2 linked regions of the Struthio camelus genome follow. The protein of the gene in region 2 interacts with the protein of the main gene of each other region in a biochemical or structural test. Links are inferred from orthologs where the notes say so. Each region holds a gene or a part of one and is shown on either strand. Other genes may lie near its edges.

What was found.
Region 1: of the proteins of MTOR (region 2) and MAF1, one has a biochemical effect on the other in vitro, tested with the Homo sapiens proteins (2 studies listed by BioGRID and IntAct). The link is inferred for Struthio camelus from reciprocal best matches to the Homo sapiens genes MTOR and MAF1.

What each region holds. Positions count from the first base shown.
Region 1 is NC_090943.1:172,999,906-173,007,160, forward strand, and holds the start of MAF1 (repressor of RNA polymerase III transcription MAF1 homolog), read right to left. Parts: upstream 5,542-7,255; 5' UTR 5,187-5,541; intron 1-5,186. UniProt on the Homo sapiens protein: Plays a role in the repression of RNA polymerase III-mediated transcription in response to changing nutritional, environmental and cellular stress conditions to balance the production of highly abundant tRNAs, 5S rRNA, and other small non-coding RNAs with cell growth and maintenance.
Region 2 is NC_090962.1:6,554,049-6,564,216, forward strand, and holds the start of MTOR (serine/threonine-protein kinase mTOR), read right to left. Parts: upstream 4,626-10,168; 5' UTR 4,606-4,625; intron 4,553-4,605; coding exon of another isoform or gene 4,525-4,552; exon of another isoform or gene 4,336-4,524; intron 4,096-4,335; exon of another isoform or gene 3,982-4,095; intron 2,907-3,981; 5' UTR 2,864-2,906; coding exon 2,744-2,863; intron 2,381-2,743; coding exon 2,272-2,380; intron 1,529-2,271; coding exon 1,466-1,528; intron 988-1,465; coding exon 755-987; intron 392-754; coding exon 191-391; intron 1-190. Other genes in the region: UBIAD1 (ubiA prenyltransferase domain-containing protein 1), read left to right, coding at 4,525-4,552, 4,994-5,560, 6,508-6,995. UniProt on the Homo sapiens protein: Serine/threonine protein kinase which is a central regulator of cellular metabolism, growth and survival in response to hormones, growth factors, nutrients, energy and stress signals.

The DNA of each region.
Region 1 (7,255 bases), on a different chromosome or scaffold from region 2:
GGGGGTCGTGCCCACACCATTTACACCAGTCGCCGCTCATTTCTTCGTAAACGCTGATGTGGTACGTTCTGCCAGGGAGTTTCCAAGTTCCCCTTCTTAGTTCTGAAGGTCACTGGCCTTTTTTAGCCAGATTGTTTTCCCTTGAAGCAGTGGGCTGGAGAGCAGTGCATGGCACTGGTTCCACTGTGGCTGGGAGCAACACAAACACTCCTGCCAAGCACTGCAAGCTGTCTCCTGGAGCAGGACTCAGGCGATTGCAGCTTTGGCTCGGGAAGCTGCTCTTTCATGTGGTCTCTCAGGGCCTCCACCCAAATCTAGGATCAACAGTGGAACTGGCTAACAGGAGGAGAGAGGGTGGAGAGAGATTTGGCTCTCGGTCCTCACAGCTGCCTGGCAGGCCCCCAGCCCACGGGGAGAAACGCAGGCTTCAACTACTATTTCCACGCAGGGCAGCGTCGCCCCAGGGGTATGGAGCGTCTCTCTCAGGCTTGCTCTAGGGGCTGACGGAGCTGCCTGCTGGATTTTAAGGGGGAACGCTGTCTTCCTCCAGAGCCCAGCACGGAGCCTATGCTCCCTCCCCGCCTCAGGGCCTCTTGCACAACCCTGGGACTGTAACGGGAGAATTTGTAAACAAGCAGGGAAGCACATGCCAGGGCTCTCTGGAAACAGTGTCCCCTTACAGGCCTCCCAGAGAAGAGATATCCACACCCTAGTTCTGGGCACCAGGACCGAGTCAGAGGAGAGACTCCCGGCCCTTCAGTTTCAGATCTGCATGCGTGAAGGGGACGCTGTGTGTCTGCGAAACCATGATGGACGTTGAGTCAGGGCCAGAGGGACGCAGACAGCGCCACCAAGCCTGGGCTGAGTCCTGGGCCCTAGACAGGAGGGAGCAGCAACGAAGTAGCAGGGTGGGAGACCCACGCACACGCTGAGAGCCACCCACCGCCCCCTGCAATGTCTCACTGGCACCACCACGCTGTCTGCTCTAAGCAAAGGATTGCAGGGTGCTGGATGTTCTTACCCTGACGCTGCCCGAAGCGATTAAAACCCAGGTGATGTCCAAGCCAAATTGACACCTAAAGTAAACACCACATCTGAGAGGCAGCTTCAGCATTCGCCGCAACCCCAGCCTATTAAATAGAACAGCCTCAGCTAAACTGCTGGCAAACAGCCCCACATACCGTATCTGGGGAAGAAGCGGCAAGCAAGTGTCTCTGCTCAGACGCTCCCATAAGCATACACAGCTTAGCAGAACCCTAGACAGCATCAAATACTGGCTGTCATAGTGATTAACATCCCTCCAAATGGGAAAGAATCCCACACACAAAGCTGAACAGCCCAAGTCAGGCCACAAAGCAAGCTCCCACTATCCTGAAACCTTTTTTTGTGTGCAAGTCTCCAGTTACTTTCAGCTTATTAAGGTACCAACATTTAGCCTGTCAGTCCTCTGGTATAGGAGAGTCTTCCATGCCAGGGAAGATCAGGGCTTTCTGCAGCAGTCCCCACGTTGGCCCTACCTTTTCCTCTCAAACAGCTGTAGGTGAAACGAGAGAGCAACGAGTTCAGGAAGAGCCTTGGGAAAATGAAAGAGGGGAAGCAGTCATAACAGGGAATTAAAGGCCAACCCACAAGATACAAGGCAAGGACCTCAGGCAAAAAACGGAACTTGGGCCACAGGATCCTCACCTGTGAGGACCGCTTCTTCCCTCCTGCAAGTCCCTCGTATAGCGGCACGCGTGCCAGCGCTCTGGAACAGGTCTCTCTACTTGATTCAAAAGGTATGAGGCACACTTGAGTGCTCATAATAAAACGATAATCCAGACTAGTCACGTTGCTCAAGCAATAGATGCTCCTTTGAAATTCTGATCCTACAGGCGCCTCGGGACATGAAAACCTGTCCCCCGCCCACCATGCTCTACAGAGAGACACCTAAAATCAGAGCCAACAAGGGCTGCACAAAAATCTGACGGTGCACTCTGCTCGTAACGTTATACGAGGCTGCTATCACCAGACTAAGAACACGGGCACTGTAAAAGTCAAAGCTAGCAGCGGTTTCCCACAGCTTGCTCCAGTGCACGTCGGAGGGACGGGGTGCTCAAGCTGCAGAGAACTGCTCGGAGGGAGAAGACAGGACGAGGTGCCAGCTGTCTTCGGATCATACCAGAAGACTTGCCAGTGACCAAAATTAGAACAACTAACGTGAGCCCTAAATGAGCAAAAGCCAAGCCTGCTTCTAACACTGGAAGACAACAGACAACGGGAATCTTATGGGATATGGACTTTTTTGCCTTCAGCTAAACACGCAAGTGTGAAGAGACCCATACCCAGCTCCCAAGTGCTATTTTGGAAGAGCTGTACAGCATAGGACTTCTGCAGCAAGCATCTAAAGAGGTGATGGAAAGGATTTTCAAGACATGTTGATTTAGTTCCTCTCAGAAGGCTACAGAGAGATTTTGCATCAATGCAGAGACAGAAGCGTCAATAGCTAGACAGTAAGTTTAACGGATTATGTCTCAGCCCTGGCTGTTTAGGTACAGTGTTTATCAGTCTATACCAGGCCATTTGGATCCGGCTAGGGAGTTGTATGTGCTGGGACTTTGAGAAATACTGATCTCTCCAGCCTCTGCCTACGTGTTACTCTTTCATCTCAAGAAGTGCAACAAAGTTCAGAGAAATACAAAAGAACTCGGCGTTCAACAAGGCAGAAATGGGCTGCCTCTACAGGAAACGTGCATTTCCTCCATAAGTGGTAGCCGCTCAGCCCTGCAGAGTGCAGGAGGCAGGACACAGGTCGAGGAGAGGAAGAGGTGACAGGCTCAGCGTTCATGCAGCCAAGACGCTGTACTTCATCCTTTCCCCCATTTTCCAGAGCCAAAGGCCAAGCCTGAAGGGCCTGCTTTAGCGTTTGACAGGACGAGTTGCTATAAACATATGGTGGTGACAGAGAGGCAATGAAGCAGCAGCCAGGAGCTCTCCTCTCTAAAGTGTTCAGTAATAACCTGTTTGTTACTACATTACAAACACTTGCAGAGAGGGAAACCAAAGCTTTGAGCCTGGAACTGTTGCTGCTCAATCAACAATACAACAATTGCCACCAAAACAGTAGGTTTTACTGCGGACAGCCAGGTTGATGCAGGTGCTCCCCTCCGTACCCTGGGCAGTCTCAGGAAGCCAGCAGTATAAAAGCACTGGAAGCCATATTTTTTGAACAATCTTCTGTTTCAAAGCAAAGCTTGATAAATCTGCCTCTACGGACAGGTGAGAGCCTGAAGAGAAACAACTAGTCTGGCACTTCCTGAAGAACCTGACCTCAAGAAGTTAAGGCTAGCGTTCAGCATAGAGCTATTCAACGTTGGCGCAACTGGCTAGCAACAGTCCTGCAGCACAGAGAAGTCCTCGGTTGGAAAGAACTATTACGGTGGCTGCTAGGGCCCTGACCACTGAGGTGTGGACAGGGCAACGTTACATCTTAGCAATACCACTGACTGAAAAGCTCCTTGGAGTCGCCATCAATGAAACGTTGCATTATAAAAGCCGTATCCGTTCCTCTCTACCGCTACGGCGCCACCGGAGCAGCGCTGCCAAGGAGCGGCAGAGGCATGCCGCTACTCCCTCGCTGAGGGAATGCAGGGCACGGTGTCTCCAAGGATCAGCAGTCAATGGGTGACACCGCAACAGGAAGAGTAAAACTAGGTATTCAACCACATTTTTACGTGGTGCAGAATGAACGCGACACCCACCCGTATCGAGAGAGACATCTTTTCCTGCTCCGAGCAGAGGGAGGGAGCAGCAGAGCCTGCAGCAGGCAGGGTGGGCGAAGGCACAGGCTCTCCGCCAAAAGGTTTGCGGTTGCAATATCTAGACAGTTCAACACATGACATGCGATGCTTGATCTTAACGGTGGTGCTGAAACAACGCTTCAGTCTCCTCCTTTGCCCGAACCATGTCCCAGTAAGGGAACAAAAGCAAAACTGACACTTCAGCTGAAGTGCTCTGCTAAGCCAGCCACAAGATAAGCATATTTAAGGTGGATTCAGTTCAGAGCGCTGTAATCTCATTCCTGCAGTACATATGGCACGTTGGATAGCAGACAACACGGAAGGTTGCATTAGTTTGTATTATAAACGGAGCAAGGGACACACTAGCACCCTACTGCTAACATGGTTTCGCACACCACAAAAGTTACTGAAGGAGGAGAGGGGAGGAGAGAGGACATCCAGAAAGTTGGACAGATCTAATTTTAAACCAGGGTTAATGGAAAACACAGAGGCATAATCTACAGGGTTTCAGATATCACGGGGCTCACAATGCGTTCCAGTGCCACCAAGGACTACAAGACAGAATCCAGAGAAATTCAGTCCATTTAAAAACTGGGGAAAACAAAACCCTAGTCTAGTTCAGGCAATAAGCAGCCTGAAGTGCTAAAACTCGGGAGGGGAGAAAACAAATGAATAAGTGAATTCACTTAAGAGAAGTGAACTCAACCAAGCTATTAGCTGCGCCCAGCTGTGCTCTCAGACAGGCAATTCTTAGCCGCCTGCCCCGGAAAGCGTTCCTCTTCCACGGGCGCTATCGGGACGCCTGCAGCTCCGCGCAGCTGTGGCTCCCCACGGCGCTTTCCGCCGCCGAGCTCCTGGGCGGACTCTCCAGGGAGAAACGGGGCGCGGACGCCCCTGGCCGCAGGCGGCAAGCGGCGGGTGAGGGCGGACAGCTCGGCGCGGCGCGGCCCTCCACCTCGCAGCTGTCGCACCTTCCTTCCCTAAACGCGGCCTCCACAGGCCGCGTTTAAGGGAGGGCCCCGCGCCCCGCAGCGCTACTCCGCCGGCGTAACGGCACTCCGGCAGCGGTGCGGGCCCAAGGCGGCCCGGGCCGCGCCCGGGGCTCGGAGGTAACGAAAACGGGGTAAAGGCGGCGCGGCGGCTCCAGCCGCCACCACCCCCTCCCCACCGCCCGACCGGGGCCTCCAGCTTCCCGGCATGCCGCGCGCGCACCGCCTCCCAGCATCCTCCGCGCCGCGGGCGGCCGAGGCCGCGGCCCTCAGGCGAGGACTACAACTCCCAGCTTGCCTTGCGCCGCGGCGCTGCCGCCGGCCCCGGCGCGCGGCCGCGGGGCGTGCCGGGAGTTGTAGTCCGCGGGGTACTCCCGAGGGGGGGGAGCGGGGGAGGGGAGAAGCAGCGGAAACCGACCTACTAGTGTCTCCTGCACTCGGTCCCGGCGGGGCTCTTCACGGTGACGGCTCCTTCAGTCCCGGGGCGTTTGTAAAGGAAAGCTTCTCCGGGGAAAGCTCGAGGAGGGCGCGTGTGCCTCGGCCGCCGTCCGCCGTCTCACACCGGCCCACCGGGCCTCCGCCCACCTCGACATGTCCCCGACTAATCGGGACGGAGCGAGCGGCTGGTCGAAACCTGGATTTCCCCGGGCGGGCGGACGGGCGAGCGAGCGACCGAGCGAGCGACCCTCTCCTCAGGCACCGGACGACAACAAGCGGCGAAGCCCCGCCCCGCCCGCGGCCCGGCCGTCCCGAGCGGCTGCTGACAGCTCCCCCCTCCCCCATTGGAGGACGGCCGTGGCGATCCCCGCGGGGCTCTCCTCCCATTGGCGAGCGCAGAAGTCAATCAGGAGCAGCGCGCCCGCCCTCCGAGGGGACTGAGCCTAGCCCCTCCCACTTGCCGGAACGCTCGGGGCCCTGATTGGCTGGCGGGGACAAAGACGCAGGGAGCGGCTGTCAATCACAGGAGCGGCGCGCGGCGCCCCCACCCGGCTCGGCGGGGGCAGCGCAGAGACCGGCCGCCCCGGGGCAGGGCCCGGTGCATGGGAAAGGTCCAGGCGCTGCAGGCCCGGCTCCTCCCGGTGCACCGCGAAGCCTGGTGGGTCGGGAAGCTCGGTGCACCGCGAAGGTTGGTGCATTGCGAAGCCCGGCTCCTCCTGGAGCACCGTGAAGGTCGGCGGTCGCAAAGCCCATCTCATCCTGGTGCAATGCAAAGATCAGTGGTTGCAATGCCCGTCTCGTCCTGGAGCACCATGAAGGTCGGCGGTCGCAAAGCCCATCTTGTCCTGGCGCACTGTGAAGGTTGGTGGACACAAAGCCCATCTCATCCTGGTGCACCACGGAGGTCAGTGGTCACAAAGCCCATCTCGTCCTGGTGCAATGCAAAGGTCAGTGGTTGCAATGCCCGTCTCGTCCTGGAGCACCATGAAGGTCGGCGGTCGCAAAGCCCATCTCATCCTGGCGCACTGTGAAGGTTGGTGGACACAAAGCCCATCTCATCCTGGTGCACCACAGAGGTCAGTGGTCACAAAGCCCATCTCGTCCTGGTGCAATGCAAAGGTCAGTGGTTGCAATGCCCGTCTCGTCCTGGAGCACCATGAAGGTCGGCGGTCGCAAAGCCCATCTCATCCTGGTGCAATGCAAAGATCAGTGGTTGCAATGCCCGTCTCGTCCTGGAGCACCATGAAGGTCGGCGGTCGCAAAGCCCATCTCATCCTGGCGCACTGTGAAGGTTGGTGGTCACAAAGCCCATCTTGTCCTGGTGCACCACGGAGGTCAGTGGTCACAAAGCCCATCTCGTCCTGGTGCACCACGGAGGTCAGTGGTCACAAAGCCCGGCTCCTCCGGGCCTGCTGGCTGTTCCCCTACAGAGGGGAGTGGGGCCACCCTAACGATTTGGGGAGAGAGCGGAAGGTGGCCACTCCAAGGGAACCTTCCTTGCCAGGGGGTCCCTGGCCAGGGGTGCACCATCCTGCACCCTCGCAGTGGTCACTGCGCCAGGCCCACCGCACCCCTGATCAGGCCGGCTCACTGCCTTGGCCGAGGCTGCGGGAGGAGCGGAGGAAACGGGGCTCTGCTGCTCCGCGATCGCTCCGCGGTGCAGGCACGGCTGGTGCCGCTTCCACACCTTGATCCCCTGCCGGCTGAGGCGCGGGCACTAACACGCTCCGCAGAGCGCTGCGCGGACCGGCCCGGGATGAAGGCTGGGGTCATTCCCCATTTCCCCTCCAAACGGGGGCTCTGTGTGGAGCAGACTGGTGGCCTCTGGCCACGTCCACGTCCCCGTTCAGCACGCAGAAATGTCTGGCCAAGAGCGTGATGCGCTGCAGGAGCGTGAAGCACTCAGAGGAAACGAAGACACGTTTGAGCCCGGGGGGAATCCAGCACTTGGGAATCTCAGCTGCTGTCGAGCCGCTCCGTGTCCCTTGGCAGCTGGAAATGCTGAGAGCAAGGGCTGAAGGACCTCAGCGAGGTTGGACCTCCTCGGCT
Region 2 (10,168 bases):
GAACTACTTTGATTGGACGCCACCATGTTTTCAATCCTGATCGAGGGGAGGCGGTTTTCTACGAACAAAGCAGAGACATGCTGACAAAAGCGAAGCAGTTTCTTAGCTTGGACAGCTCTTCTGGTACTGGCGCTTGATCATCTGCATTGCACTATAAAGCAGCTGTTTCAAAACTAAATTATTTTCTTACTCTGTACCACTGGGGCTTCTGCATCTCTTTAGGCTCACGCTGAGTAGTGAGGATAAGGCAGGCTCTTAAGGCAGAAACAGCTCCCTCTCGGATGGCCTGTTTGGGATCCCACACAGCCACAAAAATATTGTCAAAGAACGGCTGCACTTGTTGGAAGAAGAAGGTAGGCACGCTGATTGCCAGCTCACGCAGGACAAGAACCTGGAGACGGGAAAAGGAACAACAGTAGTCTGTGAGGATGAGCACCTCCAGACAGGCATCATAATTCCTAGTCCATAGCATCACTTACTTAGAGTGCTAATATCTGAGAACCAGAGCTGTTTCCAGCTCCTTTTATAGTATGTAGCACAATGGTGTCTCAATCTTGTTTAGTCACCGAGCATTACTATGGTAGAAACGATGAAGAATCAATATATCTGCTATGGGAGCGTCACACATCCTCAGGCATGGACTGGCAGCCATTGCTTCTCAACTAGAGCTCTTCCCCAGCTTTCTGGGCACATCTACCACTGTTACTCAAGCCTAACCCCCCCCTTCCAGGACAAAATAAAAAGGACCACTTACAGCTGCATGTCTTCGACCTTCATTCCTGTCAGCTCCCAGCCACTCCAGAGCTCGTTTCACCTCAAACTCCACGTACTCGGCGGTGAAGGTGTCACCGGCCATCGCGAGCCTCCCAATAGCCTTGGAGGCCATCTCCATGACAACAGGGTCATTGGACGGCAAGAGGTTCCGCAGGTAGTTGGCGAACCTGCCAATACGGGTGGCGTTACCTCCTTCAACACCGATGAGACTTGCTGTGGAGAAAGGAAGCAGGGCTATAGGTTGCACCTAAGAGTCAGTGAGGCAGACAGTAGGTAATCCCTGGATGAGAGTTAGTATTCCCTGTCCATTCCTTAAAGATTCCCATTAACTCTTCCTAAACTGCAAATCCACAGAAAAAAAATCAAGCAATAGGAAAGGGTCACCATTCTTCCGAGCCTGAACTTGTTAAGTGGACAGGAAAATGCATCAGTAGCTTCATAGATTTTCCCCATTTTTAGTTTAAAAAGAAAAAATACATCCACCCTGGGATCACAGACCCATTCCCAATAGAAAGGCATCCACATGCAACTACTACAGCTGGTCCGTCTCAGTAGAGAGGTCAAAGACTGAATGGACCAAGGAAAGCGCTCTCCCCCTCGCCCCTAGAGACGGTCTCTCCAGGCCAGGGTGGAGGCACGTTGGCAGGGGGCAGTGTGGCAGAAGCTTGCACTGCCGATGCCTGGGTTGTACCTGCTCTGTAGATAAAGAGGCCGTCAGTGTCCAGGGTTGTCAAGCCGGCACCTTTCAACAGCACTAAATTCACAGAAACAATTTTAAAGTGATACTGTCAGCTTAAAATCAGATGTTGTCAACAAAGATTTCTCTAGCTAAGGGACTTCCGCTGTCTTCAAATATGTTGGGGTCGGACGATTACGTCTGCGAGCCTAACCCATAGGCAACTCCTATTTGGCTATTAAAAAAAGCAAATGCTACAATACGGGCTACACAAGCTGATTTCCCTAGGAGTCGCAATGCAGGCAGTTCTGCCATATCACAGTGAAAGCACAACCAGAGCAACTGATAGAGCAGCTGATGAGAATAAAAGCAAAAGCTACGTGAGCCCCTCCCAGGGATGGAAGCTGCTGTCATTGAGCCAAGTGAATTTAAATAACAGGAATCAATGTCCTCAGGCAGAACGGAGCTCGGAAAGTCAGCCCACCATGACACACATAAGCGGACAGCACAAACTCTGTTTTCAGACGAGCTCAAGATCAGAATTTTCAAGCGCTCGGCGCTCATATTCGATGCTCAGCTCCCAGAAGAGCTCAGCGCCCACGGAGCACCAGGTTTTCAGCCACTCTCAGCACTCAGCAGCTCCCATGCTGACGCTCTTGGACAGATTTTCAAGAGAACCCAGTGACTAGCACGCACCCAGCGTACTAAGCGGTCAAACATAAGGCCACGATCAAAAAAGTTCATTCCTTTTGAAAAGCTGTCCCTAAAGAGTAGTTGCGTGAAGAGAAAACTCACCAAAGGCATTAAGCACTTTCACTCACCTATAGCCAGAATGCCACCCTTCCTTTCATTTGCATCAGAGCTAGAGACCAGCTCAAATATGTGATGGTTCAGCTGATCATAAAATTTGGTAGATTCTTCTTGACTCATCTGCAAAATGAAAAAGTTCAAATCAACTTTCATCATTCTCCACGACCACAGACACCCCCAAAAAGACAACGCTTTCCAGGTCCCTTAAACACAAAGAAATTAAGTTAACCATACATTACAAACACAAAATGGTATAGCTCTTCTTTGTGCCCTAGACCTATCAGGTTGTATTTATTCTAGTGCTTGGCCATCACCGGAGTCCCCAACTCAGGCACCCTGCCCACATGCCAGGGCAAAGGTAAGCTCCAGTCTTTGCTGGACCTCCTCTCTAAGACAGTTTCCATATTCCAAAATCTCCACCCCCAAAGTACCCAGCCAATGCATTACACCCATGTGATAAACGTTCTCATTTGCAGGACTCACTTCGCGGAGCTCCATGGTGACATAGTGTTGCAAGTCCTTGGCAGCTTTTGCCCTTGTCTCTTCGCTGCGACTCTTCAAGCCATTGGCAAATTGCTGGAGAATGGACACAGTGCCTGACATGATGGCGGTGTGCTGGGGCTCGGCGCATCAAGTCCTGTAAGTACTTCAGAGAAAAATCTTTTTAATGCTTTCAGCTATTGCATACATCTGAAGTTCTTCCTTGACACTGCCCCTACTGACTGTCTCCAAAATACACATCCCAAAGCTTGAAAGGAAGTTGTTCTGAAAGAGTGTAAAAAATATAACTAACGACTAGTTTCCCTAGGCCCTACAACACTGTGATAAAACCACATCATCACATAACGTCATGACCCAGCTCCCTCGTTCCCTAGTTCCCCAAACATACCTCCAATAGGTCAGATTCCTAATCCTATGGGGATCTAACCCTAAGTTAAAGGGCATGCGACAGCTGAAAAGATACTAGGGTAGAACCAAGCTCTAGAATCACTCTATAAAAAGTAGGCAAAATAAGTAGCTCTGTCATTGTGTCGCTGCCGTATTTGACTCCTCCATGAACACCTTCGCCCAAGGACCTCCCCAAAAGCCTCGCTGGTCTAGCTACACAACCAAGACTCAGCACCCTGGGCCTGGTAAGCGTTACATCCTCCAGCACGTATTTATAAGGGGGAAGTCTACTGTCAGCAACGGCAATCACTGCAACAGGATGTTTACTATCGCAACGCACAACCAAACTTTCTTACGAGCACTTCTCCTTGGGGAAAGTTGTCTTTCCCCTGAAGTCCTGAACCCCCCTGGATCCTCAGGCTGTATAAACCCAAGCTGCGCGCTTGCACCCAGCAGGGCCGGGGAGCGACACCTGAGCGCCTTCTACCCCGCGCACCGCCGCAGAGCCCCACCGAGGTCACAGAAACGGCGGGGCGGCCCCGGCCCCCTCAGGCCGCCGCCAGGGCTGAGCCGGGCGGCGGGAGCGCCGTGAGGCGGCAGCGGGAGCGCCGCGAGGCGGCGCCGGGGCCCCGCCGCCGGGATGCCGGTGAGGTGAGGTGGGGTGGGGTGGGGCGGGCCAGGCCGGGGTCTCCCGCCGGCGAGGCCGCGGCCGGCCTGGAGGCCGGTGCCGCTGACGGGGCGCGAGGCGCCGGCCCGGTGAGCGGCGAGGTGGGGGAAAGGGGGGGGGGTTATTCCCGCCGGAGGGACGGGGAGGCTCCGGGAGCCGCACTCACCGCCTCCGCCCCAACCGCCACCGGCTCCCCCGCTCCGGGCCCCTGCGCCCTCCCCTCCCCCCGCGCCTGCCGGGCCGGCCAGCCGCCGCCCGCCAATAGGCGCGCCGAAAGACTTTGACGGGCACGGCTTTCGGCCAGTAGAAAAAGAGAAGGGAAGGCGCCCTCCCGGCCCCGCCCCTTCTCCCGAGAACCGCTAGGAGCGACTGTGGCGGCTCGACCAATCATCAAGCCAGCTGGGAGTAACTGACAGTACGGAGTGACCAATGGGAGGGCCAGGAATGCTCGATTGGTGAAAAGTCGGGCTAGGCCTGCCCTCCGGACTCCCACCGGCTTCCGCCCCTCCGTAAAGCGTGTGCGCTTTCTGCGCATGCGGAGGGAGGGGAGCGGGGCTGCGCCCGGTGTGCGGCACTGAAATGTGTCCGGCTTCGCATGACAGCGCCAAGGGCAGCGGGGCGGGGGGAAGGCGGCGGCGGCGGCGGCGGCGGAGCCGTGCTCCGTTACCGTAATGGCACCGTGTAGCAGCGCCGGCGTGTTTGTCGTCCCATGTGCTTCGAAGTGACCACTAGCAGCCGTGCGTAACAACGCGGGGCGTTTAACGTTTACACCGGGGCGGGAAGTACTTACGGGCCGTTAAGGAGCTGCGTGGGCCTCCCCCCGTCTCCTCCCCAGCCCGGCGCTGCGGCGGAACCCTCAGCGCGGCGCCGCTGCGGCGGGGAAGGGGAGGAGGGGGGGCTCAGGGGGCAGCGGCCGTTGCGACCGTTGTGGCGCAGGCGCGCGGGGCGGCGGCGGCGGTTGGGGCGCGCGCGGCGGCGGCGGTTGGGGCGCGCGGCGGCGGCGGCCGTTGAGGCGCGCGCGCAGCGCCCTGTCAGAGCGGGTGAGGGCGGCGCGCGCGGCCCCTCAGGCGCTGCCCGCCCGGCATGGCGGCGGCCGTGGCGCTGCTCCGCGGGGCCCGCGGCCGTTGGGGCCCCGGGGCCGGGCGGCGAGGCTGACGCGCGGCCCTTCTCCTTCCCAGGTGCTGCTGCTGTGAGGCGGTGTGGCCGGGACCGCGGGCAGAGCATGGGGTCGGGAGAGCTGATGCAGAAGATCAGCATTGGCGCAGAGAGCCCCCGGGGCGGCGAGAGGAGCGACTTCGTCTCCGGGCTGGCTGTGCCGGAGAGGGGCCCCCCCGGCTCCTGGAGGCAGAAATGTGCAGCCTACGTGCTGGCCCTCAGGCCTTGGAGCTTCAGTGCCTCCCTCACCCCGGTGGCGCTCGGCAGCGCCCTGGCGTACCGGGCCCAAGGAGCACTAGATCCAGGGCTACTGGTGGGAAGCGCTGTGACTGTCCTCGCTGTGCATGGAGCAGGCAACCTGGTGAATACTTACTATGACTTCTCCAAAGGCATTGATCACAAGAAGAGTGATGACAGGACTTTGGTGGACCAGATTTTAGAACCTCAGGATGTAGTCCGGTTTGGAGTCTTCCTTTACACTGTGGGCTGTATCTGTGCTGCTGGGCTCTACTGTGTCTCTACACTCAAGCTGGAGCACCTGGCCTTGATTTACTTCGGGGGACTTTCCAGCTCCTTCCTTTATACTGGAGGTAAGCGTTATATCCCATTCCCTGTGATTCTGATGCGGACGTGGGAGAGTTTACTGACTTATCTAAGGGCTTCTGGAAGCTCCAAGTGATCTGGTTAACTATTGTACAGCTATTTGGTGACACTTCCTAGAGTACTGATACTTAGACTGGTATTCTTTGTCACTGGTTGTTTTGGGAAGGCATAGGAGTAGATGCACTCAGTTCTTCAGCTGGCAAGTGCTATTGAGACATTATTGCATATATGACTTTAGGTGCTTTTCAAAACTTGCTGAAACGTTGGATGATGTGTATCTGGTGTCCCTTGACTGTATAGCTCACTGCATATATTCTTTTTTATGGGTAGAATTACATTATGCATTGTGTTGGAATATGTTGTTATTCTTCAGAAGGAGTTTCACTGGGACTGTAGAATAGTTTTTGTATTTGTTTTTACTAAGGAGAGAATTTTTTTTTGCATAGAAGAGGATGTTTTGATGTCTTCCTGGGTTGGGTAAATACAAACATAAAATATTTTGCTTAGGAAAACAGGAGCAAACTTTTAACTGTCGCATGAGTTTACTTGAAAGAGCCTTGTCAGTTTTGTGTTTTGTTCTGAGCGTTTTATCTGTTTCTTCAGGGTCAGATCTAGTATGTCTGATCACTGTAGAGAGTGCCTTATTTCTATTGATTTCTGTGGAAATAGGGTATTTCTTGGTGTGAAGAAGGGTATTAGAACCCGGCCCTTAATTTTGTCGAGTGGTTTGGCTGGAGAAATTCAGAAGCTGCTTTTCTTTTATTACCTTTAGAAAAGAAAAAAAGAGAGAACGTTTGTCAGCTTTAGGTATGTACCTGTTGTTTTTTTACAATGCTTCTGTGGGAACAGCTGATCTGTTATAAAAAAAATCCATTCTCCTCTGTAGTTTGAGTCGTTTGATGACACTTCATTTTATTCTTGTGTCTTGCCACAGGAATTGGATTTAAATATGTTGCACTTGGAGACGTGGTGATCCTGATCACCTTTGGGCCCCTGGCTGTCATGTTTGCCCATGCTGTGCAGGTTGGTTATCTGTCTGTCTCACCGCTGCTCTACGCTATCCCACTAGCTCTCAGTACCGAGGCCATCCTGCACAGCAACAACACGCGAGACATGGAGTCTGACCAACAGGCGGGTATTGTCACCCTGGCTATCCTCATCGGCCCTGCCTTCTCCTACATTCTCTACACCGTGCTGCTCTTCTTGCCCTACCTGATTTTCTGTGTGTTGGCCACACGCTACACCATCAGCATGGCCTTGCCTCTTCTCACCATCCCAATGGCATTTTCACTGGAGAGGCAGTTTCGGAGTCAGAGCTTCAACAAAATTCCTCAGCGGACAGCCAAACTCAATCTCCTCTTGGGGCTCTTCTATGTTTGTGGTATTACCCTAGCACCAGCCGGGGCTCTCCCCAAACTGTAACAGGAGCTGTAGAGTCAGGCCTCACAACTCAGTATTAACACCAATTAACAGTGGTCGATGTGGGTGGATGACCTGTTACGGACAGTAGGAAGAATGGAGAGACCTTCTTGAGCTCATGATTGTATGTGAATTTTATAATTTCTGGTCTCAGTTAGCTTGCACGACAGATTTCTGAAAAGTGCTTTGTCAGTCCTTTGGAAGGGATGACCTGCGCTGCGTTGCTTCAGGAGGAACAATGCAACTTGAGAACAAGGAAACGTTTAAAGAACCTTGTGCTTCTGCCACTGAATTCTGAGGGGCTTTCACCGTTAAGTTAACGGAAATAAGCCTGAGCCTCAAATATAAACTCTCCTTTCCATTTACAAGCACAAGGATTGCTCTTATGACTCCTTTACCGCGGTCAAGGGCTTCCAGTGTCTCCTGCGCGGTAAACACAAAGCACTGCCAAATGTTTAGTGTCACAACAATGCAGGCGCTCTCGCTTCGCTCCCTTGTGACCATAGTTCATCTTCATCTGTTGTATGTTTTAATCTTTTTTGTTTTTCTTTTCCTAGCCGAACTTTGAACTTATGTTTCCCAGCCCCTGGAAGACACCAGATACACAAGCATTCGCTGTTGCCTCTGCTTGTTCCTTATAGTCAATGTGTTTCTGTGGTATGCTGATGCTAAAATGGAGCACGACTGGCCCACCGCATAAGCTTTAAGACAAAAACCAGTAAACTTTATCCCTCTAAGAAAGTTGAAGTCATAAATGCAAATTATGCAACTGAAAAGCCCTCAACACCTAGGAAAACCAGTGGCTTTCATTTCTGCATTTGCTTAGGATTTACTCTCTGAAATGACAGTCTTGGAGTTGAGGGGATCTGACAGACAGGGTGACAGAATTCTCTGGCTGGATACAGATAAATGGATGTATTCTTAGTTGGAAAAACTGGTTTTTCCAGTTGTCATTCTCTCTTTTTATTTAGAGGCCCAGAGTATTATAGCTGAACGTCGTTTTTTAAGAGGCCCTGTAAGAAGCCTTGGTGGCAACAAAGGAAAAAGATACAAGATTAGAAGGAAGAAATCAGGATTCTTGCATTGGCTCGGCCCAAAAATTGGGACTGGGAAAGGGATGGAAATATTTTTGCTAACATGTTCTTTTTCTAATGGAGTAGAGGGTTTGCATGACTGAAAACACATTTATGTGATAAGTTAGCTGTGAAGTGGGGTTCCCCACCTCTTTCCACCTCTACACCTTATGATTTTAATTTTCTTCTGCAGGTTTTGCCACTTGATTCACATGGCCTTTTGGGGAATGGGTAATTTCAGTCAATATGTAGCTGTGTGAAAAACAGACCATACCAAACTCAGCTGGGAAATACCAGTGATTTTCAGTGGAGCCATAACCTAGGATGAGTTTGGTCCGTTCCGTGTTTCCTGGTAGCACCTGAACTCTCTTCTTGGTTGAAGAAAAAGTATTGGTTTCTTATACGTGAGGTTTTGGTGAAATGTTTATTCACAGAAGTTGTGAAAAGGTTGACTGGAATCGATACAGCTGTTGGACGGGAGCTGCTGGTGCCTGGAGCACAACCTTGCTTTTGAATCAAACGAGAGTAGGCTTTTAAAGGTGAGCAATAAACTACCAACACAAGCTTAGCATTATCCTGCATCTGTCCTAGGTAAATTATGCCCTTGTGGTGTTCATCTGAAAATGCTGGGTGTTACATTAGTGGAGCGTACTGACAGCGGTAAAGCTGAGTGGATACGAGGTTAGTTCAAGTGACTGTTTTTATGGCTTCCTGTTACCCGGCTGTTGGTCTGTTGCTTCACAGCTGAGTTGTAGTTAACTATAAGGATTCTCTCCAGGCAGATTTTGCAAGCCCCAGGTTCACCTTTTATTAAAATTGGGCAGATGATCTCTAATCTGACTAGGCACAAGCCAAAAGGCAACTGGGTGCTGCTTTCTACAGCTAAAGATTTGTATAGGTTAGGAACAGGATGAGAAGATGCTGAAGTTCAGCTCAGCCAAATGGAGGGAGATAGCCAGAAGCTTTTGGAAGCAGCTTTCAAGACAGTTGTGTACAACCCAGTGTCTACTGTTACTTCATTGCGGACCTAAAGAAGAGTCTAGCTTAGAAACCCACTTAACTTTTCTGCGAAGCAAAAGACATGGCTTGAGTTGGTTAATCTGTTAATCTTACCCTTTTGGATAGGTGGTTTTATTAGGTTAAGCCTAGCATGGCTTTGTTGCTATCCTTCTTAGCAGCTGAGTGTTTTGTTTTGTGATAGCTTGCTCTTTTATGCTATCTGTTTAAAAGAATGTAGTTACCCCTTTCTATTCCTTTTCCATACAGTGGAGTACTCGAGCTAAATTCCTTGAAGTAACTACAACACGGCTCATATGTTTGATAACTGCAATTCTTGTACTGGTGGAGAGAAAAATCTAGGAAAAGGTCATTGATGGGGTGGCATATGTAACTCTAGTTGTAGCTAAGCTACGATTTGCCAGTAGAGAAAAGCCCCCTGTGCAGGATGCCTGCTTAGTGCTGGGAAGGACGAGCATTTTTTGTTACAGAGATGAAACAAGAGTCTTGTATACTTGTATGTGTTCGTAGAACACTTGTCTGGGTGGGAGGGTTTCAATGCAGTATAATACTAGGAATGGGATGAAAATCCATCTAAAATGCTTTTGATTCCCTGGCTGTAAAAAAGACAAAGATCATTTCAGGCTTTTAAGGATATTGATAATAAATAACACTGTTTCTTCACCGGGGCTTTGAGGAAGTTGCTCAACTTCTCTGGGTCTCAGAAAACAGAGCTAATTTTTGCCTACCTCACAGGGATGCTGAGCCGACATCATTTTTGAGAAGAGCTTTGACAGTAAAATGTGCTTTATCTCTGTATTTTTTTCAAAGGCATGTTAGTATTAGAAAACCCTTAGGTATAAACTGACCTAACAGATGATTTTTAACCAATATAGGTAGACCAAAATAACCTCAGCACAGACACTGGGTGGAAAGAGAGGTGTCTTTCTTGGTCTGTTTTGCAATGAGGATGCTGGGTCTCTTTTCCTCCCCCTCTCATCCCTGTCCCATGCTTTTTCCCCCAAATATAAACTTTTCAAGCTTCTTTCAGGTCTTTCTTGATGAGCTGTGTGCAGTGTGATGGGTCTACATAGGTAGATGAACAGA